Linked DNA regions of Diceros bicornis minor. The protein of the gene in region 2 purifies or fractionates together with the protein of the main gene of each other region. This does not show direct contact. Links are inferred from orthologs where the notes say so. Each region holds a gene or a part of one and is shown on either strand. Other genes may lie near its edges. The genes, in order: MC1R and MGRN1.

Region 1 (14,352 bases), on a different chromosome or scaffold from region 2:
TCATGTGCAGAGGCTCTTCCCCTTGCAGCCTGGGTTCAGTACTTGGCATGTTGAGAGGCGGAGCCGTGCCCATGCTGTCTGTGGACTTACAGAGGCTCCGAGCGGTGACCAGCAGCTCAGGCCCCGCAGCACCGAAGGGGAGAGCCTGGCGTTCTGGCGAAGGTCACGGTGTGTGGGCGGCGATCCGTGGTTCTATCATGTCCCCACCACATGCCCACTCTATCTACGGGTGTCGTAACCCTCTGAGTGGGCAGAGTGAGTGTCCTGGTGGAAGAAAGGCTGTTCCACCCCCTCACCCAACATGTCTTAGTAGAGTGAACACAGCCTTGCAGCCAAGGACCATTTCTGTCAGACTTACCGACTCCAGAAAGGTCCAGTCCAGATGGGAATCAGCTCGAGACTGCTGGGAGGAGGGCAGAGGCTCACCAGCAGTGCTCTGTGGTATCTCCGTTCTGTGTCCCTTTCTGAAGGATGTGACCACACAGTCTGTGATGGGCTTTGACCCTCTGCCTCCTTTGGACACCATCTACTCCTACGTCAGACCAGAGAGGTACCTCTCCGCCCCCGCTGTGCTCCTTTGCTTATACGGCGCTGAGGTCAGTGCTCCGGGGCTCCCTGGGACTCAGACACAGGCCTCAGAGAGCAGTGTGATCTGGGGCTGTGTTCTTTCACTTATTTGTCTAAGGTAGGAGCATTTCTGTCAGGTTCTGTAGCAGGTGTTGGAGATGTAAGATACCACCTCTGCCCTTGTGGAGCGCAAAGTGCAGTGGGGAAAATAGACATTGATTATAGAATCTAGAAGTAAACGTAGAAAGGAAAACTGCAGTAAGAAACTGCTGGGAAAGAGTGGTGGATAAGACTCGGAGAAGAAGAGATGGTTACACTGAAACATGAAGGAAGAATGTGCCTTAACCACATAAAGAGGGTGGAAGGGTTGCTGGCATTCCAGCAGAAGAATCAGCATGTGCAAAGGCCCTGTGCAAGGCACAGAGCACAAGGTACAGTCAGAGAACTGAAGGAATGCCCATGTGGCTGGCCAAGAGAATAGGGCAGTGGGAGCACAGCAAAGCCTGAGTCTGCAGGCTGCCAGTGGAGGTGTGGATGGCTTTCATAGTTAGATCATGAAAAAGCTTCTTTTTTCCTTTGTTTCTGGTCTTTAATGCTGAGTAACTGCCTTACCTAGAACACATCACCACAAAGCCATAGATCTGGAAGAGTCCCAGACCCTTTCCCATTTAAGGGAGCACGTGCTTTCTAGACATCAGGAGAACACATTTTGTAGAATGAAGTTCTTTCCTCCCCATCCCCACCCCCCATTTTCAAGCATTTATTCATTCATTTTCATTGAAGTGTAGTTGACGTACAATATTACATTAGTTTCAGGTGTACGACATAGTGATTCAACATTTCTTTGCATTACGAAATGATCACCACAACAAGTCTAGTAACCGTCTATCACTGTGCAAATTTGTTACATTGTTGACTATATTCCCTGTGCTGTACATTACATCCCTGTGACTTATTTATTTTATAACTGGAGTTTGTACTTCTTAATCCCCTTTGCCTCTTCCACCCAGCCCCCACCCCCTCCCTCTGGTGACCACCAGTTTGTCCTTTGTATCTATGAGTTTGTTTCTGTTTTGTTCGTTTGTTTTTTAGATTCCACATATAAGTGAAATCTTACGGTGTTTGTCTTTTTCTGCATTTTTTTCTCACTAAGTTGTATTATAGAAGTTGGATTGCGTGTTCACAGGGAAGTAGTTCCCAGTTAAATTCTCCAATAGATTAAGAGGAAAATTATTAATTATTATTGTCAGTGGGTTCACAAAAAGCTGACATGCTAGACATTGTGGCGCTGAGGGCTGGTTGCAGGACTGCTGACTCTGAGCTTTGTCTGCTGTGCGCTCTGTAGGCCATCAGCTTCCAGGCCTCCTTGACTGTCTAGTGACGAGGAGGGGCTTCGCTTCACAGGCCCTAGAATCTTCTCTCTGTATAGGACCAGTTCATCTTCCCACCACTCCTAAGTGCTGAAGAACACTTGGAAACTACACCTTTTCTTAAAAGCAAGGCACCTGCCCAGTGGCAGATACGTAGCTTGGCTGTGGTGGGCCAGGACCTGAAAGGCCAGGCCCCCACTCTGTTAAGGCCTGAGCAGTCTCCTCAGTTGCCTTTGGGTGCCCACAGCCCACCCCAAGCTGATCAGAGTCTTGGCTGCCCACCTGTCTGTGGGAGCCCAGGGCCGCAGCTCAGCTCCTCCCCATCTCCCCAGCTGCTGCTTGGGGCTGCCTTCCTGGAACCCTGCCAAGATGGGGAGGGGACACAGAAGTATCGGTTCAGCTTCATTTTCTGACCTTTCTTGATTTTCTTTTCCAGGCTAAGTCCTGTCAGCCACGGAAACACGATCGCCCTCTTCTTTAGGTCGTTATTGCCAAATTACACCATGGAGGTATGTTGAGCATATCTTGGCTCTCCCTGTTGAATGGGTTCAGGCAAGTCCGTTTTGGCCCCAGAGCCTACTGGGGCCAGCACTGCAGCAGCCCAGGGGCACCCAGGGGCGTGCCTGCCCGAGCCTGTAGCTGCAACTTGAGCTAAAGCCCCTCGAGTCAGCACGGCTCCTTGATCCACTCTGGGCCTGGCCTTGTTAGACGCGTGTGTTTGGTTTTTAGGAGCTTCCTCTCCTTGACAGGGTCCTGGGTAAGGTGGGGTGGGAGCTCTGGGCCCGGGGGCCCAGGACAGCCCTTGCTCAGATGCATCTCGTTGCTGCAGGGGGAGAGGCCAGAGGATGGAGGGGCCGGGGTTCTGAACCATAACCAGGGCTTGAACAGGCTGATGCTGGCTGTGCGAGACATGATGGCCAACTTCCACTTCCACGACCTGGAGGCACCTCGCGAGGACAACCCCGAGGGAGATGGGGAGTGGGACTGAGTCGGCACAGATGCCCGCCCCAACGCTGTACAATTATGTTCCTGATTTCTGTTCTGGTCTGAATTGGCCAGTTCCCTGAAGTAGAAATACTGATGTGTTGTCCGCCTGCCTCTTCTGTTTCTCCCATAAACATGATGGGTTATGTTCTGTGCGACGTGAGCTCTCCTTTCCCGGGGCTGGGGTCTGTGCCCAGTGCAAGGCAGGCAGGTCCCAGATCTGCACAGCTCCCCGAGGTTTCCCAGACGAGAACGTGACCCACAATCACACACCGAGCCCAAGCCCTAGCCAAGTCCTCCCTCCAGCCACCCTTCCCTCCAGAATTTGGGGCACAGGGGTAGAGAAGGGGTCTCACAGGTCTCTAGTGCAACATCTCTGCTGAACGCCATGGGGTGTGCTTGCAGTCGGACCCTGGAACAGGCTGGCCCAGGGCTGGAGGGGCTGACACCGGGTCCTCACGCTGGGCACCAAAGACACAGAATCCGTCCAGTCTGACACAGTTGTTTCAGTGGAAAACTCCAGGGCAGTGCCGAGGCAGAGGGGAGGCCGGAGAGGTGGGCTTTGGAAAGGATGTCCTGGCAGTTCTGGGGGATGCACATGGCAGAGATTAGGGGGCATTTGATCCGGGGGTGAATGGAGCATGGGGGCAAGGCTCGTCGGCTGGGGTGGGTCCTGGCACACTTGGTTGACAGCTCAGAACCCCTCGGGGCTGCCTATGACTCAGGAGCCTGTTTGGTTCTGGAAAGATCCAGGATACCAAGGTTGTGAGCTGCCCGAGGTGTCCTGTCCAGCAGGCACCCTCCTGGCCCTGACCTCCACCCCGGGAGGCAGCAGACATGGGTTGGGAGGAGACGCTGTATATGTGCTTTGGGGTAGAATCTGGGCCCCAGGGCGGTCATCTGTCGATGTCTACCCGAGTCCTGGTCCATCGGCCTGTCTCCCAGAAGTCCCCAACGGCGTCCTGGTCATTGATGTGGAGTCACCTACTGGGGAGACCTGTGAAGTCATCCTTTCAGCAGATCTCAACTGAGGGGCTCCCGGTGTTTGGGAATCAACAGACCCTGTGTTTCAAACACCCATGGCAAGGGTGCCCCTGCAGACACGGTGAAGTCTGTCTGTCTTTCTCACCCACACCTCATTCCGTGCCACCACAGTAAATTGGTGGGAGGATCCACACCCAGCTCCAGGGGTCAAGTATGACTGAGATAATCCAAGCCTGTCTTGGGTCTACTGTCCCCCACTGGAGTGGCCTGTGATCAGCTTCAGCCAGGAAAACAGGAGTCTGCTGGAGGTCTTCTGGGAAAGGGTTTGTTCTCTGAAAACAATAGGTAAGCGAGGAGAGCGTGGCATCTTGCATCTTCCAGCCTTAAGTGCATCCAGGTAGGGATGTGATGTCTGGAGCTGCAGCAGCCATCCAACCAGGCAGGAGTCAATGAACTTTAAAATGAAGAGCCAGTGTCCTTGGGATAGTGCAGCAGAAAGAGGCTGGGCCCAGCCTGTGATGAAACTGCTCACCTCCGGCCCTGCTGTCCCAAAAGGTCATTAAATCGTCAGTGCTCAGCCATGCTGGTCATATCAGGTCATGTTTTTAGTGGAGATGAGGACAACCAGGTCCCTCCCAGCGGAACACTGGCTGTAAAGGCTTGGCTTGCCACTCAGTGTCCAGGCAAGGGTAAACCAGCTCCTCCAGGCCCGTGCTGCCCATGGGCAGGATGGCTAATGGGTTGTGCCCTTCCCCACGGAGTCAGGCCCCACCTCAGGGTCTTCAGCGCAGACACCACAAGGTGGGCACACAAACCACCCCCCTCCCCGAGTTCAAAGGAAGCTAGACGGCCCTTGCAAGACAGCGTGACCCAGCTTTGGGCTGGACCTTCCTGAGATCCCACTCGACGAGAGCCAGGAGGGGCAGGCTGCACCCCCGCATGGCTGCTCACGGGGCTGTGTGCCTTCTGGCTGGCTCTGGGAGACCTCTGTGAAGGAAGCAGGGGCTGGCCTGGGCCTTCTGGTCAGGCAGTCACCCCCACCTCCCTGGTGTGGCCATGGCTGGATGTAGGCACCCCCCCCCCGCCTGCTCTGCAGTGAGAGGCTTTTCACACCCCACCTCCCCCACAGAGCTTGCTCACGCGTTGAACGCTCATGTATTGTGGACCTACGGTGTGCCTGCACTGTTCTTAGTGCTGGGGACACGAGTGCACAAGACCAAGTGGGTTCCTGTCTCAGCCTCCCCACGTGTGGGTCCAGCACATGGTCTCGGTGGCATCTGCTCTGAGGGGACAATTGTGTCCACCGCCTGTCTCCTGGCTGTTCCTCACTTCAGTTTCTCCCAGGTGTACTGGAGATGGAGTTGACATAATTGGCCTATGGAATCTGTGATTTCATTTAGACCCTTTCCCCATAACCATAACTCCTCACAAAGTTGACTTTTTCCAGCTCAGCCATGTCTGCTGTCTCACTCCCATGGAGTCCCCAGCAGGCACCTCCAGATGAAGAGTCGTGAGGCCTCACCAGGAAGAGGGCTGCGGTCGCCTGCCAAAGGCTACCCGGTTCTCACGCCCTTTGAAGTCTCAGGCTGGGCAGGGGGGCTGGGGTCAGGCATGTCCGTCTCAAAGGCTTCATTTATGGAGCTAGGAATACTAACATCCCTGAAATGTGATGACACAGAAGCTGGGGGCAGGGCACTGCTCACCCAGCAGACTCTTGGTCGGTGCCCCAGAGGTGGAAGGTGGTCCCAGGCAGTGGACAGCTGCAGGGGGAGTCCAGACTCATGTGGCAGGGACGCTGGGGCTTCAGGGCAGCCACCTGGGCCTGCCACTGCTCTGCCCCATGATCATGGCCTGGGACCCTCTGCTTCCTGTGGGGCTCTCCACCAGGAGGAGCAAGTGAGGGGGCAAAGTCCACGGGGGGCAAAAAACTGGGAGGGAGTGTGTGCTCTGTGGGCCCATCCTGGGCCTGGTTCCTGGGGAGCTTGGGCAAGGCCATCCTTCCACCCTCCTCTAGGTGGGGAGTGGGGGGCTCGTGCACTGCCGGGAGCAGGCAGACGGGTCTACCAGTTTGGAAAGTGGTTTGGTTGAATCTGCCAAAGCTGAAGATATGCCTCTGACCACCCCCTCCCAATCCTAGTGTCACCCAGCGGACATGTCCACCACCAAAATACGGGACGAGAATGCCCAGCAGCACTGTTGGTAAGGGGAGACACAGCACCCGAACACCCAGTGTGTCCATCCGTTACCAGCTGCGGCACAGTCTGGGAAGGAGAGGGTTCGCACTACACGCAGCTGCAAGGACATCTCAGTGCTGAGCCCCCGTGTATGAAGTTCCAAAAGAGGCAAATTAACCTCGTGGGCTCCCTGGGGCAGGAAGAGGGGTTCTGGTGCCATTCATGTTTTATTCACTGATTGATCTGGGCGCTGCTTTCCAGGCTGTGTTTAGGTTGGGGCATCACCAACCTGCATACTTAGAATCTGTGCTCTCTCATGTACTGACGTACTTCAATAAAAAGCACAAACCAGGCAAAGGGAGGAAGAGCTTTGTAAGTTGTGCAGACACGAGGAATGACTCACGCAAGTGCGTGTAACGTGGGCGTGCGGGCACTGCCTGTCGGAGGCCATCTGGTAGTCAGGTGGATGTGGGCCAGATTTTAACAGGCAGATCACAGATACACACGATTTCCAGACACCGAGACCTCCTTCGGAACTCCCTCCCAGCTCCGCCTCCACCATGGGCTTGTGTCTGACTTTGAACAAGCCACTTGCCTTTCTTGCTGCCTCGTTTTCCCCACCTGTCAATGGGAAGAACAGTTCCTTCCCCCCACCTCCGCCTTCAAAGGAGGGTTTGTCCTCAGTCTCAAGTGAGAAAGTGCTGGGAGTGAGGCCAGCCCGGTGCCCGGGGACATTCCCCACGCTGCTTGGCTCGCACAGTGCCCCACGTGGCTGGAGACAGAGGTCTGCCCTTAAAGTGGCTCCTGGCTTGGCCAGTGGTGTCTTTGTGCAGAGGACATGGGGCCGTCAGGGAAGGACTGCAGCTCTGTCCCTGCCCCTCCCCCAGGAGGAGCGTGAGCGAGGTCTCCTTCAGCCGCTGTGCCAGGGTGCCCTCCAGCAGTGCTCAGCGAAGGGGGTGGGGGTCTTTGGGGGCAGGGTTGCCCTCAGTGAGCATCTAACATTGGGTGGGGGGTGAGGGCTGAGGGCTGAGGGCAGACAGTCAACAGCCAGTGACTGTTCCTGAGGCAGAGCAGCTTCAGGCAGGCTAGGGGATCAGGGGCAGCTTCAAGGAGGACGTTGTGTTTGCCACAGGCCTGGAGGAGGCTTAGAAGTCTGGGGGCAGGTCCAGAGGTGGCCCCACAGGCACAGACACCTGGAGTGGAGGCCTGGCTGGGAATGCTGGTTGGCTGAGCACAGGCGAAGCTGGGAGCACGAAGGGGAGAGTCCCGCTGTGCCCAGGAGTCTGGAGGCCCTGGGTACCATTTGCGCCACCTGGCGGCAGGCGGGGTGCCGTGGGCACTTTCTGACGATGCCTTCCCAGGCACACGCGCATCATGTGGCCGCCCTCAGGAGGAGGGACTCCACGGAAGACTTTAAAGATGCGGAGAAAGGCTCCATTCTTTCCAGGACCCCAGCCCACTCCGGGTCTGGGGAGGCAGGAGGCCCCACAGACCAGAAGGCAGCAAGAGCATACAGATGTGTGACCTGAGCGACAGCGCCTCCAGGGAAGAGGTGGTGAGGTGGGCTGAGGACCCAGAGGGAGATGCCAGAGCCCAGAGGGTTGGTGCCACAGAGCTTGGGGTCCTCACTGGGAAGTGACCAGACTGGTGGAGAGGCCGAGCTCTCTGGCTAGGCCATGCTTGGGCCAACCTATGTCCAGCCACGGAGAGGGTGAGCCTGAGGTTGGCCCTGGGGGTGGCACCATGAGCTGAGTAGGACGCCTGCAGAGTGAGGACCCTTCCTGCTCCCAGAGGGACTATGTCTGTGCAGGGCCCCCCGAGGAGGCTGCTGGGCTCCCTCAACTCCACCCCCGCAGCCACCCCCCTCCTCAGGCTGGCCACCAACCAGACGGGGCCCAGGTGCCTGGAGGTGTCCATTCCTGAGGGGCTCTTCCTCAGCCTGGGGCTGGTGAGCCTGGTGGAGAATGTGCTGGTGGTGGCCGCCATCGCCAAGAACCGCAACCTGCACTCTCCCATGTACTGCTTCATCTGCTGCCTGGCCGTGTCCGACCTGCTGGTGAGCATGAGCAACGTGCTGGAGACAGCTGTCCTGCTGCTGCTGGAGGCCGGCGCCCTGGCCACCCGGGCCTCGGTGGTGCAGCAGCTGGACAATGTCATTGACGCGCTCACCTGCGGCTCCATGGTGTCCAGCCTCTCCTTCCTGGGCGCCATCGCCGTGGACCGCTACATCTCCATCTTCTATGCGCTGCGGTACCACAGCATCGTGACGCTGCCCCGGGCGTGGCGTGTCATCACGGCCATCTGGGTGGCTAGTGTCCTCTCCAGCACCCTCTTCATCGCTTACCACAACCACACAGCCGTCCTGCTCTGTCTTGTCAGCTTCTTTGTGGCCATGCTGGCGCTCATGGCAGTGCTGTATGTGCACATGCTCACCCGGGCGTGCCAGCATGCCCAGGGAATCGCTCGGCTCCACAAGAGGCAGCACCCCCTGCACCAGGGCTTTGGCCTCAAGGGCGCTGCCACCCTCACCATCCTGCTGGGCATTTTCTTCCTCTGCTGGGGCCCCTTCTTCCTGCACCTCTCGCTCATCATCTTCTGCCCTCAACACCCCACCTGTGGCTGCGTCTTCAAGAACTTCAACCTCTTCCTCACCCTCATCATCTGCAATGCCATCGTTGACCCCCTCATCTATGCCTTCCGCAGCCAGGAGCTTCGAAAGACACTCCAAGAGGTGCTACTCTGCTCCTGATGAGGGGAAGGTAGCCTGCGGGCCAAGGCCAGAGGGCTGGGCAGAGGGGGGTGGTGACATCGTGGGGCTCGATTCCTGTGTGACCAGGGCAGTCACTTGCCAAAGAGGGTGGCCTAGACGATCTCTGAAGGTGTGGACGCGTGGAGCCTCTGGGGCAGAGGGAGGAATAGCATGAATCTCCAGGAGCAATTGTGGGGAATGGAGGAGGCTGGGGAGACGGTGGGGCCATGGGCACCAGGGGCAGATCCCGGGCTCCTGGACAGACACTTGGCCCACTCCTGGAGAGCTTCACCTCCACCCAGAGGCCAGGCAAGAACCCACCAGCACCCACCTTTGCTGCCAGCTCAGGGACTTATGCCCCTGCCCACCCACTGGGATGTGAAGTGTCTGTGTTGGCAGGGCAACAAGAGCCGATCAGAACTCTGGCTCCCGACGCAGGCCTCAGGAGACGGGACTGTGTGACCAGCAAGACCCCACCTCGAAAGGCTGCTTCAGGAAGAAGTGAGCTCCTGCCTGGGGCAGAGGGACAGTATTAGCCAGCACCACAGCAGGGGTGGGGGGCAGGTCGGGGGGTGCTCATCTCTTCTGACTCAGTGGTAACTGGAGAGGTAGGGCTCAGCCCATCTGTCTGTACCACACATGGCCAGCAGACAGCGCTGGCCAACGCCTGCTCAGGCTGAGGCAGAGGCCATCAGTCCAAATCATTGACCGGCAGCCAGGGTCTCTGGGCCCGGAAGCAGTCTGGTAATAAATGCTGTGCTTAGTGCAGCCTCATCTTGATCTGCCTCAGCTCCTTCCAGAAGTTGCTTGAAGCTTGAAGGTGGAGGAGCAGGGGCAGGGCAAGAGCAGGGATGGGAGTGATGAGGGGGGAGAAGTAAGACCCACAAACCAGCCAGAAAGCATGGCTGGCCTGTGTAGGTGAGGACCACCCAGGAGAGAGCCTGGAGACCTCAGTGGCACCTACTCTGACCATGAGTCTTTGCTTTCTCTCTGTGGTACAAACCCCAGCCCAGAGCAACTATGTGAGGAGCAGCAGCTGCCCTGCCCCAGTCACCTCCATGGTGGCAAGACTCAGGCACTGTCCAGGCTGCCCTAGCTGCAGCAGAAGCAGGACCACTGTGACCCCTGTGTGACCTTGGCCAGAGCATGCGCCTCCTCTGCGTCTGCTTTGAGGTGCCCTGAGGGGTCTACAGTGCAAGGGGTGCCGGGGGCTGGAGTCTGCTCTCCTCCAGCACTGCCCTCCTGGGAGGGGGTCAGTGCTCAGCCAGCCCTGGGAGGTATTTGAGGCAAGACCCCCCCCGAATGGGGTGAGGCTGTCCAGGGGCCGCAGGGGGTGTCCAGACCCAAGTCCTGGGGGAGTGGGTAGCTGGGGTGGACCATGCTGTCTGGGGGGGGGCCGGGAGCCCTGGGCTCTCGCTGGGGAGCCACCTGGTTTCTTCCACAGTCACTGAACACACAGTCGACCTCTTTCTTGGTACAGGCTCAGTGGAGGTGAAAGTGATTGTATCAGCCGACTCCAAGGCAGGTCTAGTAATGCCTGCAGCTTCCTGTAGTCCCCTAGCAGTCCCCCCCAGCTCTGCTCCAGCCAGTCCCCACTCCACGCACACTGGCAGCTCCAGCCCTGACTGCTGGCCTCCGGGCTGGGAGCCGGTTCCCGGCAGGGCCAGACTTTGCTGGGAGACAGGACGGTGAGTCAGCCTTGAGCCCGGCACCAGAGCCCTCTGGGGATGGAGGGGGCCTGGCCTGGTGCCATCCCACAGGGAGGCAGGGCGGGTGATGGGTCCTGGCCTACAAGATGCTGCAAAGCTTCTTTGCTCAGACAGGGAGGTGCAGCCAGATCCAGAGAAGAGCCGAATGCTCACCAAGGACCCCCTGAACGGGGACAGGGAGGGGCCCCAGGTGGCCAGAAGCCAACCACAGAAAGCCACATCATGGACACATTGTGGGGGAGGGGCATCTCTTGAGAACAAAAGACCCACTTCTAGACTTGCTGAACTGGGGAGCTTCGGGGGCAAAAGGGGCACATACACAGCCACACCACGCCACCACGCTCCTGAGCACACAGACTGGACACAGGCACGCCCACGGGCTTGTTCAGCCGACTGCTTGTGGAACGTCCATACACTGTGGCTGAGACACTTCCCGGAGGATTTTGTTGCTGAATTATCAGAAGGACCTCATTATAAGGTGGTTTCACTTTAACGTCTGACCCTAGGAGATTATTAAGCCAGTGGTGTATGTGTGTGTGGCACTATGTCCGTACTGCATGTCCATCTCACTCACTCCCTTCTCTCTTTCCCAGTTTTTCACCCTAGAACCCCCACCTTAGGCACATGCCATCTCCCTACATAGCCCCACACACACAGACACTGCATTGCATTGGCCTCACCTGGACCAAGAGTCCAGGAGTACCGGTGACATCAGGGAGTGAGTCAGATAGAAACCACCGGTCACCATCCCCCACCAGTCAATCCCCGGCCTCGTTGTGTCCTTATGACAATTCCTGATACAATATGCATTGAGCAGTGGCTGCCAGCATCCCCACATGCAAGGTCCATGTGGAGTCTTACCGCAGCCCCCTAGGGGAGGAGGGGCAGGTGGCATCCCCCTGCAGAGGACAGTGAAACCAGAGCTGCCACAGTAATGCCCGCTGCTCTCCTATGCCCACAGCCCTTCTGACTCAGATGTTTCTGAGCCCTGCCTCATGCTTGCTTTCTTCTGGGGGCTCACTGGCTGCTGCACCCTTCTCCTGCCTCCCCCACCCCTAAGGGAGCCAGCAGAGCTCAGAGTACCTTATCTGTCCCTTCATGCCACAGACAGGGAGCTGGGAGGCGTCCATCTTGGCCTTTCGGGTTGGTAGATGGGGTTGGTCCCTAAACCGGTGTGGGGAAGAAAGACCCTCCTTGAAAAGCCTTGGGGTGGGGCTGCAGCTGGTGTGGGACCCGAGAGGGCAGGCGGGGCGCGGTCGGAGGGCCAAGGGGACTACTATTGTCCTCCCTGGAGTCCGCCAGCCCCTCCTTTCGGGTGCGCGGGGACCCCGGACTCCGCCCGCGGGGCCCTCAGACCCCGGTGGCGGCGGGAGGAAGCCCCGCATCGCGCGGCCGGGCGGCGATGCGCGGTGCTGATGCTGCAGGGCCGGTGGCGCATTCTGCGGCGGCGACTAGCGATTGGCCGCGCGCGGTGACGCCAGGCCGGCGGCGGGCGGGGCCCCGCCTATAAGAGCGGGCGGCGGGGGCTGCCGACCCTCCGCAGCGAGCCCCGGCCAGTCCGCGCGAGTCCCGCAGCCGCCCGCCACCCGCACCGAGCATGAGGGAGATCGTGCACATCCAGGCCGGCCAGTGCGGCAACCAGATCGGGGCCAAGGTGAGGCCGCGCGCCGCCCCCAAGCGCCGGGCCCCGCGCCCCGCACCCCGCGTCCCCACCCCGAGCCGACCCCGGAGGGAGGGAAGCAGGGAGGCGCCGTGCGCCCTGAGCCGCACTCGCCGCTGAGAAGCCGAGAACAAAGGAACGAGCCGGCCCCGCGCCGGGCGGCCGGGACGCCGGGGTCCCCTCCCTGCCCCTCCCGCCCCGCCTTTCCTCTGCCCTGCCGGTGTTCCCTCGGGCCTGCGGAGCGCAGCGCAGGTCAGGGCTTAGCTCCCTCCGCAGCTGCGCCCTCCTCCACCGGACGAAGCAGGTGCAGCTGGGGGCGCTGTCTGGGTGTGGCCGTCTTTTCTGGGGTCGCAACTCAGCCCTGAGCGAGATGGGAGGGTTGGGCTGGTTTGGGTGGGGCTCCTCCGTCAAAGCCATAATGATTCCCTCTGCCCCCCCGCCCCCAACCCCGGAAAAGGACGCCCTCCAATGCCGCAGAGCCATCCCCATGCCCCCAACCTCGTTCTAGCAACCCTCGGCTTCCTGGCCCCACCCTGTTCCTTTGTTGGGGGAGGAGTTGGGTCCGGACTCAGGGTGACCTTGGTCCAGGACTGGAACCTCCCTTAGCACAGCCCCGCCTGGGCAAACCCCCCGCGGGGTTGGACCGTGCCCACCTCGGAACGGCAGAGTCTGGGGGTTGGGCGTGGCAACAAAGCCGGGCTCCGGGGATGGTTCGCTGCACCGCCGCGCGGCCTCTCCCCTCCATTGTTAGCCCAACTCACAGATGTTGGGACTGAGGCAGGAAGGGGAGGTGGCGTAATCCCCATCCGAACCCAGGAGGCGAGTGTCACGTCCTCAAGTCCGGGTGGCTGTCCTTTGCCCAAGGTCACAAATAAGTGCGAATCCCAGCCGCGCTGCCCTCCGGCGCTCAGTCTCTGCGGTCGCCCAGCGCGGGGCTCAGGCTAGGTGGGGTCTGCTGCCCAGAACAATGCAGGGAGGGGTGGCTTTGTCAGGACCAAGGCCAGGGACCCAGCGCGGGTTGATGTCGGGCTGGTTCCCGGAAGGAGGCGGTGGGAGGAGACGGGTCCTGGAGGGGAAGGGGCCGAGGAAAGGCTTCCTCTGGAGGCTGTTGCCGTGGAAACCAGGCAAGAACAAAAAGCTAATTACAACGGGACTGGGGCAGCCAAGTGGCTGACATGTAAATTGCATCTTCGCTGTAGGGTGGATGCGCCTCGGATGGGGGGAGGCGGTAGCGGGGAGACTCCCTAATCACCGGAGGAGACAGCTGTGCCCGCCCGACGTCGGGGGCTGGGGGAGGGGGAGGCCTGGGGGACGATGGTCTCAAATTAAATCAGGGCTCGTGGGGCAGTCGCTGACAGCTGCCCTGGCCAGGTGGGAGGGGCCCAGGGCTCATTAATGTGGTCACAGGGGCCAGGCCTGCCCTGAACATCTGCTCCTTGGAGGGTCAGGGATCACTGTGCGGAGGGGCACACCCCTGAGTCCCTCCTGGGTCTGGGGGAGTGATGATCCGATTGTGCCCCCTCCTATGGCTGGGCCTAGCACACACCAGGCAAAGGCGGCTCCACACCCGGCTCGGTGGGCGGCGACAGGGCGGAGGCAGCGGCCTGAGTGCTGGACAGTGTCCTCCGCAGAGATTTTTTTCCTGCTTCTCAGCGCTCTGGCCCTTGGGTTTGCTCATTAGTTATTATTCCTTTTGAGTTGATTTTCTTAATTTACGTTTGTTTTTAAAATTAATATCTGATCCTTTTTAACAATTCAAACAAAAGAGAGGTGGATTGCGGGGGGGGGGGGGGGGGGAATCGTTTCTTCCTTTCCCACAGCTGCCCTCTGCGATGACCAATGGAAGGGTTGGGCAGTTTCCTTAGGGCCTCCCTGCCCTGGAAAGTCTCCAGCGACCTAACTGGAAGAAAGTGCTCAAGGCCCCGGGGCCAGGCCCGGTGTGGGGTGTGGGGTGTGGGGGATCTGGCTGCCCAGGAGCTCGGCATCGGCCCTGTGGATGGGCAGTTCCTTGGCCATCTTCGTTCCCCGCTCCCATTCTGGTTGTGGGCTCCCTGGTGGGAGGAGAGCAAACTTCTCCTCCTCATCGCAGCACAGCTGACTGGGATGGGCAGGGGGTGCTCTCCTGCCTACGGGTCCTGGCGTGGTGCCTGGCTCA
Region 2 (15,219 bases):
GTGGGCTGGGCTGAGAGTGCCGCTTCCCACCAGACACCTGCCTGCCCGGCCCCAGGCAGGGAGGCCATGTCTGCAGATGTGGGACTCAAGCAAACTGCCATGAATGTGGTTTTGCAAGTTTTGCCACATCCAGCCCTTCAGACAAACTGGCTGATTAGGGAGCTTCCTGCAGGGTGGGGCTGCCAGCCTGGGGGATGGCGGGGCTGGAGCTGGCCATTCACTCCTTAGAGGTCCACTCAAACCCCCAAGGTACAGAGGAGGAAACTGAGACCAGAGGAGAAAGAGACTGCCCAAAGAGACAGAGCAGCCTCCCATCTTGAGGTGGGAGGACCACACAGGGCCGCTGGTCTCCGCTAAGATCTCTGGTAGAAAAGAATACAAGGATTCCTCTGAGTGGACAGGCCACTGCCTCCTCCAGGCTGTCCGAACTGGCGATCTCCATCCCACCCCCCAGGAAGCTGAGCCCCAGAGTGCCCTGGCTCCTGGTACCTCCTGCAGGCACAAACACTTTCCCTGGGATGGCTCCCCACCGGTAAAACCGGCTTCTGGGCCCCCGCTGCGCAAAGACACTACAGACCGGCTGGGGCTGTGACCTTACACCTGTGAGGGGTGGGGCTCAGGGAGCTCTGGCCTCATCTCTGGATACCACCCTGAGTTATTTATGGGGCCAGTTGAGTTAGGGAAGCCAGGTGGCCTCTTGGCAGCACAAGCCGTGGGCACTAGAGCTCTACGGGTCAGGGAGGCCTGGAGAGTGGGGGCCAGACTGGGGCAGCCCCACCTCCTGCCCAGCTGGCTGAAAGCTACTGAACCGTGTACACCACTTCGTGCACCGTGCGGGAAAAGTCCCCTGCCAGCACGAGGAGGGAACCCGGACACGGCTCTGGAGCGGAGTACACAGATGCACAGCCGGAGCTGTAGTGTGGGGCTCCAACACACCACCGGTACACTCGTCTGTGCAAACTCGTGGGCACCATCTGCAGAACGGCGACGTGTGTGTACTCGGAACGCACACACGCCGCACCCGCGGCCCGGGTGCACTGCGTGTTTACACACACGCCAACATGCCCACACGTAGCGCGGCGCGTGCGTAAATACAAATGCACATGTACGTGAACACACCGGCACGCAGACCCTCAGATCCACACGCTCGCGGCGGCTGCGCCCTCGGGCCCCGGGACCCCTCATCCCCACCCCGCGGCACCCTAGGTGGGGACGGCGCAGGCCCAGCTCGGCCCAGGCCTGGGGCGTCCTCCTTCCGGCCGCCCGACTGTCCGTCCGGGCCGCTGCGCCACCCCGCCCTGGCCGTTACCCGAACAAAAGGGGGGGGCGGCCGCATCCCGACCGCTTGGGGACTCAGGGAGCGGGGAATCGAGAGGGCAGGGACCGGTCGCCCCTCCTGCCCACCCCACGCGGGCAGCGTTTCCGGGGGCCCCGTAGACGCGGCCGCGCCGCCGGGCCCGACCCGCACGCCGCGTGTGCGCGCCGGAGCCCGGACGCGGGGGCGCGCGGCCGCCGGGACACCCGGCCGAGTGCGCGGGCCCGACCTGGCTCCGGCGGAGCGCGCACCGGCACGTGTCCACACCAGCCGGCACGCGCGGCCACGCGGGACGGACCCCCGCGCCGGCCCCCCCGGCCCGGCCCAGCCCGGCCCGGCCGCGCACCTCGAACTGCCAGTGGGCCGCCTGCAGCAGCTGCTTCGCCTGGTCGGCCGCGCAGCCCGCCGTCAGCACGAACTGGTTGATCATGACCTGGTGCTTGAGCTCGTCCATGTTCACGGACATGGCGCCGCCGCCGCGCTGCCCCCCGGCCGCCCGCCCGCCGTGCTCCTCCGCCTCACGCGTCCACCATTAGCGAGCCGGCTCCGGCTAATACAAATATTTACTGTGCGGCTCTGACTCACCGAGCCTCGCCTCGCGCGGCCGCGCGGCACCCTGGGAGTTGTAGTCCCGCCACTTCCGCCGCGCCGGGCCGAGCGGGCGAGCTGTCGCCGGCAGGGCTGGGGAGAGGGCGTGTCTGAAGCGTGAGGCCCACTGTGTGCGGAGCCGGGCCGCACGTGCCCAGGCCCGAGACGAGAGCTGGGGACGTCCTGGTCGCTCCCGCGGCTCTGGGGGCACCTGCGCCCCTGCCTGGCACTGATGAGGGTCAGCAGGCGGGGGCCACAGACTACATGGGCGCAAACGCCGGCTACAGGGGTCTTTGCCGAGACCCCGGGACCTCGAACCCCAGTGTGGTAGGCATCCCTCTGTGTTGAGTGGGTGCACCCTTGGAGAGGGGCCCTAGGAGTTTTGGCACAAATCGGAAGCACTAGGACGCAAGGCCTTGAAAGCCTGGCACACAGTAGACGCCAATAAATACTCGCTCAGTGAATGAATGAATGAATGAATCTGCCCTTTAGGATTCTGCTCAATGTCACCGCTCAATGTCACCGCCTCCAGGAAGCCTTCCGGTCTCCCCAACGCCTCGAGCACAAGCTCACTTCGCCCACTCGTGATGCAAGTGTTACCACCTCCACCTCGACTGGCTCTCGGCCAGGCGCACAGTAGGCCCCAGGAAGGTCTGGGGAAGGGATGGCGCCCGGGACAGGCAGACGAGGCCGGCAGGTTCTGGCGCGTCAGGGTCCCTTCCCCGTGGTGCTCCCACTTTCCCACGCAAAATCCCGTGCGCTTTGCCGGAAATCTCGGTTTTGGGAAGGCGGGCGCCAGGACCGCGCGGAGCCAGTTCCGGCGCAGCCCTGAACTCCTATTCCCAGAATGCCCCGGTTTATTTGCATCGTTCGGTCTCAAATGACGTCAAGTGAGTGAGGCCGCACCTCGGCCAATGGACGGCCGCAGAGTGTTAGGACCTGGCCATATAAGGTAAACAAAGCTGGTCGCCCAATGAAGCGGCGGCGGGGGCGGGCACTGGGTCGAGGCGGGCGGGGGCGCGTCACGTGGCGGGCGGGGGCGGGGCTGGAGAGCAAGGGGGTGGGGCGTTGCGGGCTGTGTTTACAGTCCCGCACGCGCCGCTTCCGGTTGATGTCGCGGGTAGGAGAGACTCAGAACCGGAATCGGGGCGCCGGGGTGGGGAACCGGGCCGAGTTTTGGCTCAGTCAACCCCGCTCTGAATGACCTTGTCCCGGTTCCTTGCGCTCTCTGGGCCCGAGTTTCATTCGTTGAGTGACTGTTCATTGTCCCCTCACTCCGTGCCTGTCTCTGACCTGGACGAGAGCAAACCCGAGACCTGTCGGCTGGTGGCGGGGCTGGGGTGGGGGTGTGTGTCACAAATCCCAAGGACAGATATAAGATTGCAAGTGTGGAGCGTGCACTCGGGAAGCAGGCACAGGCCCTGGAGGTGGTGGGTTAAAGGCCGTTGAGGGGTTTTAACAGATTTGATCCGTTGTCCGCATTAGGATTACTGTGGCTGCCGCAGTGTGGAGACTAGATGGTGGCGGAGGGGTCCTTTTCGGATCAGGCCGTGTTCTAGGTGTGTCTGGTTCCAAGGGAGTCCGCGCCTGCTCAGCGCCTCGCCTGCAGAATTGGACTGAATGAAGGGAAGTGTCCCACACTGGGGGCTGGGGGAGGGCCTTCAATGTTCTCTGGGGAGCCCTTCCTGGGTCCCTCAACCCTTCCAGGGATTCTGGCTTGGGTTAGTGGAAAGAGGATGTGGGGGACTGGTCGACAAAGTCTGAAAGGTCGCAAGATGTCGGGGTTGGGTGGAGGCTGAGTCACCAGGATAGCTTCTGGGAGGGAAGCTTGGCACAGTGAGACTGCTTAGTGGCCCCTGAGGGCTAGAGTTGGGAGCTTGGCCCTTTGACAGAGAGAGGACTCCCAGTGTCCCCTTCCAGGTGGGCACCTCAGCCCTTGCAGAAGTTGCCTGTCCACTTGGGAAATAAGGTTTTGGCCTCTTCTGCTGCGTGAGGATCACTCAGGATCCACCACTTTTTGCAAACCTGGATGGTGCTAGGAGATTTCTGCTTTTACTAAGAAGGGCCCCTCACCTGCGCAAAGCATCACAAGCATGAATTAATGTGGGCAAAGTGCTCGGCCCGGGGTAGGCAGCTCTGAGTATGGACCACTATCGCTGTTACCACTGGGACAGCAACAGGGCATGGTGGAAGGTGAGCAGGTTCTGGAGCCTGGCTGTCAGTCGTGACTCCCACACCTAATGGCTCTGGTGGCTGGCAGGTACTTTCCGGCTCTGAGCTTGTTTCCTCATTTGTAGAACAAGGTAAGAGCGAGGAGCTCTCCCAGGACTGCTGTGGAGGATTAATGGCTGGGAGGTGCTCAGCATGGGCCTGGCACTCAGGGCACCATTTCTTGCCCTTGCCTCTTTGCCTCCATCTGGACCACTCTAGGGGGCCCAATCCCCATTTTACAGATAAGGAAACTGAGGCTGGAATTGGACCTTACACTCTTGCAGGTGTTCAGAGCCAGTGGAGAAGAGCAGGCACCCAGTGGGCCAGCAGGGTGTGTTTCTGGCAAGGGAGAGTGGGCGCTGTCCTGGCAGGGCCCACTAGGGGCTTTTCTTGCTCAGGGAGGCAGGAAGTACCTTCACCCCTTCCCCCACCCTCTTCCAGGCACCTCTCAGGTACCTGCCTAGGCTTGCCCAGCCCAGAAGGAGCTCTTCCAGGCCAGCCAGCTGGCTGGGGTGGGGCAGATGGGGCTGGCAGGAGTGAAGGTCACTTTTCTGGCCCCTGTGGCCCCCCATCAGCCTTGTTTTCCCCAAGGGCTGCAGGGAAGGGAAAAACAACCTTGTTTTCAGGCAGGATCAGCCTGGCTAGAGAGTGGACTTTGGATTTCTTAGCAGGCTTGGATGGGGCCTGACAGCTGGGGCCAGTAGATGGGGGGAAGGGGGATAAAAGGCATTTCTGAAAGGCAATGCCCTCATCTTACCTGGGGTCCAGGGAGATAGAGGGCTTTGCCAAAGTTGGCATAGCCAGTCAATGGAGGGCCCAGGGCCCTGGCCTTTCCAGCACCCACTGGCCACCTTCTCCCCGCCCCCTTTCATCACTCCATGGGTGTGAGTGTTTGTCAGACAGCCACTGGGCGCTCAGCTCTGGGAGCGTAAGAATGAATAGGTGAGGAGCCCGCCCCCTCAGGAGGAGAAGTCTAGACTCAAGGGACTCACACCAGGAAGCCAGTGCCCAGGGTCTTCCTTTATGTTTCAAAGCACCCAGTGCTGGCTGACTGATGGGCCTTGAGATCTGGCCACTTTTGACCTCTGTTCCTCTACTCTTCCCCTTACTTGATTCCAGCCAAACTGGCCTTTGAGCTCCTGGATCATACTCATCTCTTTGCCACCTCTGGGCCTTTGCACATCATGAGGGACTGGCTTACTCCCTCAGAGTTTGCCTGGTTGGCTCTTCTATTTCAAGTCCTGGCTTAAATGTCATCTCCTCAGAGAAGCCTTTCCTGACTTCTCTATCAATAGGAGGTCTCTCCTATTATTTCATTACACCTCAATCCATTCCCCCAGAGCACCCACCACATTTTGTTTTTATACGCTTGTTCACCTCTTTAGTGTCTTTCCTCACTAGCCTGCATGCTCCAGGTCTAGTGTTCCACCATTTGATCCCTGTTGCCTGGCTCATTGCCTGTCACATAGTAGCTGCATGATAAACATTTGCTGAATAAATAAATGAATCAGCCAAGATGTTGGTAGCAGAACTAGTACCAAATTAGAAAGAGCCTGTTTCCCTTTCTCCAGATAGGGCGTGGATAAGCACAGAAAAATACACTCCAAGTCCAAAGCTCTATTAAGAGGAATGTTTAATTAATCAAATATCCAGCCTGTGGAAACAACTGCCCTGGTCCAGGGTCCATAGGGAGGACAGGCTCTTAGGGTTATTTTTCAGTGGGAACATCAGGGGCCTCAGGACTCTCCCTCCCTCCCCCAAACAGGGAAGCCACTAAATTGAATGCAGTGTTGGTTTATGTATGTGTGTATCTATACATACGTTAGGTGATTTAACAGAAAGAAATTTAAAGTAAGGAAAGAAAGATCACACGGGGTGGGGCTGTCTTCACGCCCATCTGGGGGCAAGGGACATGAAATCTGGCACATTGGAGAATTCCTGTCTCTGGGGTGGCAGGGGAGTGTGTTGGTAAAAGGAGTGGCCTGGTTCAAATTCCAGCTTCATTAACACTTACCTACTATGCAACCTGAGTGGAGCACTTCACCTCTCCCAGCCTCACTATCCTCTTCTGTAAATTGGGAATGAAAATAGAACCTAACGTAGTAGGTGCTCAGTAAAAGAGGATTTTGGTTGTGGGGCAGAGATTTAATCATGCTCCTCCAAGACCAGGACTCTCCCTCATAATCACCCAAGTCCTTCACCTCTTTTCTTAGTTTGGGCTTCCCAGGTCCCCTGACAATAGCCCCTGGAAGGGTGTGGGACTCATTTTAACGTGGACTGTGGTAAATTTACCATTTGAGACTCCTAGCCAGCCGCTGCCCTCTCTAGCTGCATTCTTGATACAGCAGGGTTGACTTGAGAAGTCACTTTCTTCACTGAAACCCAGTTTCTCAACTGAAAAGTAGGTAAAAACAGATCCCCACTTGGCCTGCTTACAGAGTTTTGTGTGAGTCAAAAGCCAGGAAAGTACATTGCAACCTGCGAGGCTTTAATCCTGACCCTAATTCTAGCCAGCTTGCCTTTAGCATCTTATATGCGGCCCTCACTTCTTTGTGTCTCAGTTTCCCTGACTGTAAAATGGGGAGAGGCCTACTGCCTCTGTGTGTGTGTATGTGGAGGGGGGGCTGTAAAATTATGTCTTCAAAGTAATTGTACTGGACGTGGAGCCTAAGAGATGCCTTGAGTTCCAGAAAAGGCTAAAAAAATGTGCTTCTCCAGGTAAGCTTGGATGCCAACCCGGCTCTTTCTGGGTGGCAGGTAAAGGTGTGCCCTCTGCTGGCCGAGGCAGGAGATAAACCCTGGGAAGTGGGGAGAAACACGGTGGCTCAGGGAGATATTTCAGAGAGGGGGGTAAATGGAAGGCGTTGGGTTCCTAAAAGGGTCTATGTATGAACAAGCTGTTAGGAGGCTAAAGAGTTACGATGTTAGTGCGGTGCTTGGAATGCCGAGGGAAGGACAATTTGCGATGCGGTTGATGGTTCCTCCCCTCTGGGTTCAGGTCCGTTTGGTTTGTCCCGGAGCGCTTGTCAACACCTTCAGAGGGCCCGGGCGAGGAGCATCCTGGGAAATGTTGTTTCTAGGCGGGCTTCCTGCGCCGCAGCCGGGCGCCCTCGGCGGCGAGGGGACTCCATTTCCCAAGGTGCCTCGGGAGCGGGGGGCGGAGGGCCGCCGTGGCGTCGGGCCAGGGGCAGAACGGGTGGGGGCTCCGAGGCCGAGGCGCCCGCGGCCGTGGGCCATCGTCCGTGCGGCCTGGTCCGGGCCATGTCCGCGTGAGGACGCTGCCGCCGCCCACCTCCCTGGCCCCGGCCCGGCACGCCGCGAACCATGGGCTCCATCCTGAGCCGCCGCATCGCGGGCGTGGAGGACATCGACATCCAGGCGAACTCGGCATATCGCTACCCACCGAAGTCCGGTGAGCGGCGGCCCCGGGCATGGAGGGAGAGGCGCGGGCCGGAACGCGGCTCCGGCGGCGGGCGCGGGGACAGGGCGCGCCCGCGCGGGCACTCCGCGGAGGGTGGCGTGGGGGCTCTGCTCGGCCCGCGGCCCTCCCTGCCGCCTTTCTGCCTGGGGCTCCGCGCGCCCTCGACCCGGACTCCGGGGCGGAGGTGAGGCCCTCGGCTGACTGCCTCGTCCCGGCTAACTGACCTTGGGTCAGTCACTTCGCCCCTGCGCGCCTCAGCTCCCTTGTCTGCGCAGTGGGGAGACTCTCAGTAGGAAACTCCTAGGGCCAGGGTGAGGTGCCAGCCACGACGCTGGCGAGGGGTTGGATGTGCCCGGCGCGTGGCTTGTGCTTACAAAGTGGTCGTTGTCAAAAAGATTGACGTCACACCATCGCCAGTTTTGGCTTTCTTTGGTGGCTTGGTGTGAAGACCCCGCCACTGGTTCTGGACACTCTCCATCCCATCTAGACAGAGGCTTAGCTCCTGTGACCTCCTGGCGTGTGGATGATGGGTGGGTGGTGGGAGGAGTGCGACTGGGCCCAAGGATACGATTATAATCTGTGGGAGAGAGGCTAGGAGTCCTTGCTGGAGAACAGGAGAATGGTTGGAGGGGACCTTCCAGGCTTTCTGGTCTCCTTTTTTGTGGCTTGGAGACCTGAGCCACTGGGGAGGAAGTGACTTTCCCAAGGTCTCAGAGCTGCGTGGAAGCACATTTGGGACCAGGACCAGGACCCCGACGCCCAGATGAGTTGTTCCCACTCTGTTCTGCTGCCTCTAATGATGTGTGTGGCCTGACCCAGAACTTTAGCTCCTGTTCCTCACTCTCCATCGCCTCATCTGGTCATTTTCTATGCAAAGGAGGGAAGAGGATAAGGGTTTTGGACGTCATGGGGGAATTTCAGATTGGCTCCTCTCTCATCCTGGCTTCTGAAGCATCTGTTCTGATGTTCTGGTCTTCTAGGCCTCGCAGTTGGCCTGCCAGCATCCACTACGCCAGGCTTCCTCTGAGTGTGGTCCAGGACCACCTGCTCCCATCTGTGGGGAAGCTTGTAAAACATGCGTTTCCCAGGCCTGGCCTCGGACCTGCTGGGGTCCAGGAACCCCCATTTAAAACCTATTCCCCAGGTGAGTCTGATGTCCACTCAAGTTTGGAACTGCTTTGCCCTGGTTTTGGAAGAGGAAAGATGAGTGTCTGGGGCTACAGGAAACAAAGGAGGTGGAGACTACCATGCTCTTGGGGATGCCGACTGGCCGACCATGCTACCTTGCTAATCAGTCAGGACACTCTTTCCCACTGAGCCTTGGCTTGCTTTCAGAATCCATTAACAAACACCTCAGTTAGCCACGACTAATGAATTGGGGCTGGCACCCAGGTGAATGCCACGGGCCACCTTGATTTTGCTGCAGGTGACAGCAGTGCTCTCCTGGGCCTGTCCAGTCCAAAGGCTGTCCTCTCTGTGTCCTCGTCCCTTGGCCACCTTGCTCAGGGATGGTGAGTTGGAGGCAGAAGGGACCTTAGCAGTACTTCAGCATGTTTCTGCAAGGTCAACTGGGCACTGCAGGGGGTCTGAGAGGATTTTAGGGGGTGCCCCCATGGACTCGTCAATCACTTTATGAGAAAGTTGTTCTCTTTCCATGTCTCTGTCAATTTTGTTGATTATATCAGAGAGAATCGTTGGGTGTCAGTTTTTTTGAACACCCCTGTAATGCTGTCCAATTTTTTTCCAGCTTTATTGAGGTGTAGTTGACACATAGTATTGTGGAAGTTTAAGGTGTGCAGCATGATGATTTGATATATGTATATATTGGGAAATGATTATCACAATACGGTTAGTTAACACATTCATCACCTCACAGCTACCTTTTTTTTTTTTGTGGTGAGAACTTTTAAGATCTGTCAGAACTTTCCGCATGCACTGCAACAGTACCTAGCTCAAATTTAATAACATTTACTTTGTTTTCATCGTATTTATTTATTTATTTATTTATTTTTTGTGAGGCAGATCAGCCCTGAGCTAACATCCATGCCAATCCTCCTCTTTTTGCTGAGGAAGACTGGCCCTGGGCTAACATCCGTGCCCATCTTCCTCTGCTTTTATATGGGACGCCGCCACAGCATGGCCTGAGAAGTGGTACATCCGTGTGCGCCCGGGATCCGAACCCGGGCCACCAGCAGCGGAGCACGCACGTAACCGCTACACCACGGGACCGGCCCCAGTACTTGTTTATTTTATTCCTAACAGCTTTATTGAGGTATAATTTGTGTGCCACACAACTTATCCATTGTAAACATATGATTTGGTGATTTTTAGTAAATTTGTAGAATTGTGCAGCCATCAGCACAGTTTTAGACATTTCTATCATCCCCCCGAATTTCCTTGTACTTGTTTGCAGTCAGTCCCTACCCCTGCTCCATCACTAATCTGCTTTCTGTCTTTAAAATTTGCCCTTTCTGGACGTTTCATATAAATGGAATCATACAACATGGAGTCTTTTTGTGTCTGGCTTCTTTCACTCAGTGTGTTTTTGAGGTTCATCCATGTTTTAGCACGTGTCTGTACTTTATCGTAAGGATGTAGTACATTTTGTTTATCTCTTTACCAGTTAAGGAACATTTGGGTCCACTTCTTGGCTCTTATGAATAATGCTGCTACACACATTCACGTGGCCCTGTTCAGTTCTCTTGGGTGTACACCTAGGAGGGGAACTGCTGGGTCATGTGGTAACTCTGTGTTTAACCTTTTGAGGAACTTTCAGACTGTTTTCCATAGTGGCTGCCTCATTTTACGTTTGTTCCCACCAGCAGTGTATGAGGGTTCCGATTTCTCCACATCTTTGCCAATATTTATTATTGTCTGTCTTTTTGATTATCGCCATGCTAGTAGGTGTGAAGTATCTCACTGTGGTTTTGATTTGCATTTTCCTGATGACTGATGATGTTGAACATCTTTTCCTGTGCTTATTAGCCATTTGTATATCATGTGTGTGTGTGAGAAATGTCTGTTTGTCTTCTATTTGATTTTTAAAGCTTGGATTGTCTGTCATCTTATTGAGTTGTGAGAGTTCTTTATGTATTCTGGATACAGCTCCTTTATCAGTTCTGTGATTTGCAAATATTTTCTCCCAGTCTGTGGCTTATCTTTTCATTTTCTTGATGGTATCTTTTGAGTAGCAAAAGTTTTAAATTTTGGTGAAGTTCAATTTATCAGTTTTTTCTTTTGATGGTTAATGTTTTTGGAGTTATATCTAAGAGATCTTTGCCTAGCCCAAGGTCACAAAGATTTTCTCCTATGTTTTTTCTAGAAGTTTTATAATTTTAGCTCATACATTTAGGTCTGTGAACGATTTTGAGTTAATTTTTTTCATGTATGGTTTGAGGTAAATATCTAAGGTCATTTTTTTTGCATATGGATTGTTATTTATTTCAACACCATTTGTTGAAAAGACTATGCTTTTCCCATCAAATCGCCTGTGCACCTTTGTCAAACCTCAGTTGACTATAAATGTGAGGGTTTATTTCTGCATTCCCTTGCCCTGCAGTCCCTTGCCCCAGTCACACAGCTGGCCGGTCCCCAGCTGGGCTCTTAAAGAGAAGGCTGTGTCCCACATGCAGAAGAGAGCCAGAGCACGGTGGGTGCCCACTCAGGGGGCCTGGCCCTGGGCAGCTGCTGCTACGGTTATTCCTCCTGCTGCTCTTGTTACTGTTGTGTGTCTCAGAGCGATGCCGGCCGCCCTGCCCTGGTGTTGAGGGAGGTCATGCTGGGACCAGATCACCCAAGAGAAGTGTCAGAAGGAGGGGCCATCGGCCCTGTGACCCACCAGCCCCGGGAGGGGGACTATGCCCAAGACCTAAACCTTTGCATATCAGGTGCGTGTGCTTTCTGAGCATGTTCACTGCCATTATCTTATTGGAGCTTTGCCGTGTCCTTGTGACACCAGACTTTTGTCCTCTCTGGTGGAGGAACTAGAAATCAAACTGAGCCCTTTGTCGCCCAGCACCTGGGCCTGGCACACCGTAGGCATTTAGTAGATGCTTATGCAGCATCATTACTGCAGAAAGCAGACCTGCTCTCTCTAGTGTACAAGCTGCTCAGACTGGGTTGCATCTTATCCATGGGGTGTCAGGCGGGGGTCTGAGGACTCCTGGGTCTGCTGCCATGTGATGGATGTCCTAGACTTGCTGCGGGTGCTTTTGTGTTGATGGCAGTCTAGAAATGTCTGTGAACGCAGCCGGCGACTCATGCTCCACACTTGTGTTGGGTTTACCCTTTCCAGAGTAAGGCTTTGCCGACTCTGATTTACTTGGCTCCTGAAGGAAAGAACCGAGGCAGGTGTTCTAGACGAGGGACAACATTCTGTGTCACTGAGGGTGTCCTCTGTCACTGGGGGCATTCTGAGTCCGTGGGCCATCACTGTCCCAAGAGTGTGAGACCCACGCGTTGGTGGCATTGGGATGGGGAGGTCAGGACCAAGGGGCTCCACCTGCACACAGGGATTTCCCCCCACCCCCCGTGCAAAGACCTGCACCGTCACCGCTGGCACCGTGAGCAGATTCAGCTTCCCCAAGTGTCGCCTGTGCCAGTCACATCAGAACTAGTTTTGTGCTTCTGCTCATGGTAACTTGGTTTGGATTTTATCATTGTAGGAGCTGTACAAATAAGCTGTATTTTCCCGGCTTCCGTTGCTATATTTTGGGTAAAAACAGCAACAAAACAACTGTTAAGTTGGCCGTGGGGGGCTGGGCGGCTGAGAAGCTGTTTCCTGAAGCAGCAGCTGAGGGGGCGTGGCTTTAGGGGCCTGCTGGTGGCACTGGGGCTCTGTGGCCACTGGGAGCTGAGGTGTGTGGGGCCTTGATGTTGGAGTGTCACCTGTCGTCAGGGTTTGAGAGGGCCCGGAGCTCTGTGTGTTCGTCTCTGAGGTCCCCGCTTCGGTCACTCAGTTCCATGTGTGTCAGGGCGCGATGACTCTGGGGACCTTTCATAGTTTTCTGGGAATTGTTGAGAAACTGTCCCTTTCTGATGACTCGAAAATCACCTGGCTCTAAGTCGCCTCCTGCCCGCCTCGCCCTCCCTGGGCTCTGTGGAACATTCCCCTGCTGGATGATTCATGCTGAAACGTAATAAAACCTCTCTCGGCCCTTGGAACTTGTGCTCTCTGCAGCCCACACAGCCCGCATTCCAGTTGAGGAAAGCCCGAGCTCGGGCGGGTCTGGTCTGGTGGCCAGTGGGCCCTTTACCCTGGGCCGGGTGGTGGCTGCTGCTGTCCACAGGCCGCCATGGGGCTGAGGGCCTGGCTGCCCGGGAGAAAAGGGGCGTGTGCATGTGTGCGTGTGTTTTCTTCCTCGCAGCTGGGGTGGACTCGACAGTGTGTACGACACACCCTTTCACAAGCATGGGCGGGGAAGTCGAAGATCAGTTTAGCACTGTGAAGACAAACACGCTGCGCACAGTCCTTTGTCCCTTTCTACCCTCAGCCTGTAGTGGTGTGATGGGAGGAGCACTGGATTCTGAGTCCTGAGGCCGAGTCTGGCCCCGGCTCTGCCAATAACATACTGTGGCCTTGAGCCAGTTTTCTTGCTCTTGGGTCCCCGTTTCCCCAGCTGCACCCGTGTTAACTTCTGGATCCCCAGGCCTCTTGCCATTCTGACTCTGAGAGTCCATGTGAGCGGGCAGGGAGGGACCAAGCCCTGGCCCTGGCCCAACCGAGGTTGTGTTTTTCAGTGGACTCGCAAGTTTCCTCGTGAACATCCTGGACTTCCTGGATGACCCCGGCGGGCAGAGACCACTGCTGCCTGCCTCACTTCCTAAACCCAGTGCTGCTGGGCCAGACATTTGCACGGGGCCATGTTCCATTGGGCATTTCCCGTGTGGTCATGTACAGGCATCTGGCCTCACATTTCTTTCTTGTCCCATAAAATGAAGGGCGATGGTGTCACATACACCACCCCTGCAGCACCTGACTTGGGGGCTTAGTAAATAACTGTGAAATTGTTCAGCTCTGCCAACTGCCCCCGTGGCTGCCCAGCTCCTCAGAGGTGGGGGGAACCAGGCTCAGCCCTGGCCTGTGCCCTGAGCGGGGGTGACCATCTCCCCAGGATGGTGTCGGAGGAGGAATGAGTGAGCAGTGGTGCCCCTCTGCTCTTAGCAGAAAAGCCGATGGGTGGAACAGCGTGGGAGAGCGGTCATTTGCTCTCTAGTAAGAAATTAGTTGGCTTGCTTTCTCATAGACGAAGGTGAGGAAGCCAGAGGCTTGTGAAATGACTGACATTGGACGTCTGTCTAGCTCTGTGTCTGAAAGAAGGCCTAAGGCCAGGTAGAAAGAACTCCATTTTCTCAGTCCTTTCATCTGGCTCCATCTCGACTTGGGCCTTCCCCCTTGGTCCTGGGCGCTGCGCATCTGCAGAGCCAGCCTCCCGAGGTGAGAGACCACTGTGCTGGCTCTGGCTGTTCTGATAATGCAGCTCTCTGTTTCCCGGATCTCCTGTCCCATGTGATCTCCGTGAATGACCGACCGCTGGGTGCCTTCAGGGGGAATCAAAAGAAGGAATTGTATTCAGTTCAGTGCTTTAAAAAATGTGTGTGTATATACACACAGATATATTTAAAATTGAAGTGTAACACATTTAAAAAATGTGCACATCATAAGTGTACCGCTTGATGAATGATCACGTTGAAGAAATAGAATGGTAGCCGTCCCAGAAGCCCCGTGGTGCCCCTTCCCCATCTCTGCCTCCCTCCCTGGGAAACGGCCTCCTGACTCCATTGGATGTGTTTTGCCTTGTGAAAGATGACAGGAGTGGAGCCATATTAAAATAGAGCCGGAGCAGCCATTTCAGAGGAATTGCCTTGCACGTCTTGTTTTCTTTATCTTCCAAACTGGAGCAAACCGCCAGCCTTCCAAGAAGTCAGTAAGGACAAGAATCTCCTGTCTGTAAGAACTGATGGATCTGGACGTTTCTGATGACTGGATCGCTAACCAGTCGATGAAGCACAAGTCTAGCCTCTTGCCTGATGACCGAACCTCAGGCCAATCTGTGAAGTACAAACCTAGCCTGACCTCATCTAGCACCAGTGAACTCTTCCTTAATACGACTCACCTCCTCCTCCATTTTTCCAGTAAAAACCCTAAGCCCCTCTCCTGTAATCAGGACACTGTTTGGATTTCTACCTGACTGTTTCCTCCCTGAATTGCAATTCTTTGATCCCAAATAAACGCTTTGCCTCTTAAAACTGGTGTCTGTTTTTGTGGGTTGACAGCCTGTTTCTGAGCTTGATATAAGTGGAACTGGACACTCTTCCCTCCACGTTCAGTGATGAGGGGCCCTGACAGTGTTCAGGGGCAGTGGTTGATTTCTTCTCTGCTACGTGGTATTCCAGTGTCTGTTGATGCCACTGTGTGTCGTCGGTTCACGTGGAGGGGCGTTGGGGGAATTTCCGCTTTGGGCTCTCGTGAATAATGCCACCATGGATGCTCTTGTGACTGGCTTTGGTGCCTATGAGTCTGATTTCTTTGGGTCCTTTTTTTTTTCACTCTTTTTAAAAATTATGGTAAAATACACATAACAGTGACTGTCTTAACCATTTTCGGTGTACAGTTCAGTGGCATTAACTACGTTCACATTGGTGTGCAACCATCACCACCGTCCATCCCCATAACTTTTCCTCT

What was found.
Region 1: the proteins of MGRN1 (region 2) and MC1R purify together in Homo sapiens (affinity purification with western blotting; 3 studies listed by BioGRID). This does not show direct contact. The link is inferred for Diceros bicornis minor from reciprocal best matches to the Homo sapiens genes MGRN1 and MC1R.

The regions. Positions count from the first base shown.
Region 1 is NC_080771.1:38,236,896-38,251,247, forward strand, and holds MC1R (melanocyte-stimulating hormone receptor), read left to right. Parts: upstream 1-7,374; 5' UTR 7,375-7,877; coding exon 7,878-8,828; 3' UTR 8,829-8,863; downstream 8,864-14,352. Other genes in the region: ribosome quality control complex subunit TCF25, read left to right, coding at 471-550, 2,374-2,446, 2,767-2,925; TUBB3 (tubulin beta-3 chain), read left to right, coding at 12,135-12,191. UniProt on the Homo sapiens protein: Receptor for MSH (alpha, beta and gamma) and ACTH. The activity of this receptor is mediated by G proteins which activate adenylate cyclase.
Region 2 is NC_080765.1:43,952,533-43,967,751, reverse strand, and holds the start of MGRN1 (E3 ubiquitin-protein ligase MGRN1), read left to right. Parts: upstream 1-7,346; 5' UTR 7,347-7,438; coding exon 7,439-7,526; intron 7,527-15,219. Other genes in the region: UBALD1 (UBA-like domain-containing protein 1), read right to left, coding at 1,662-1,781. UniProt on the Homo sapiens protein: E3 ubiquitin-protein ligase. Mediates monoubiquitination at multiple sites of TSG101 in the presence of UBE2D1, but not of UBE2G1, nor UBE2H. Plays a role in the regulation of endosome-to-lysosome trafficking.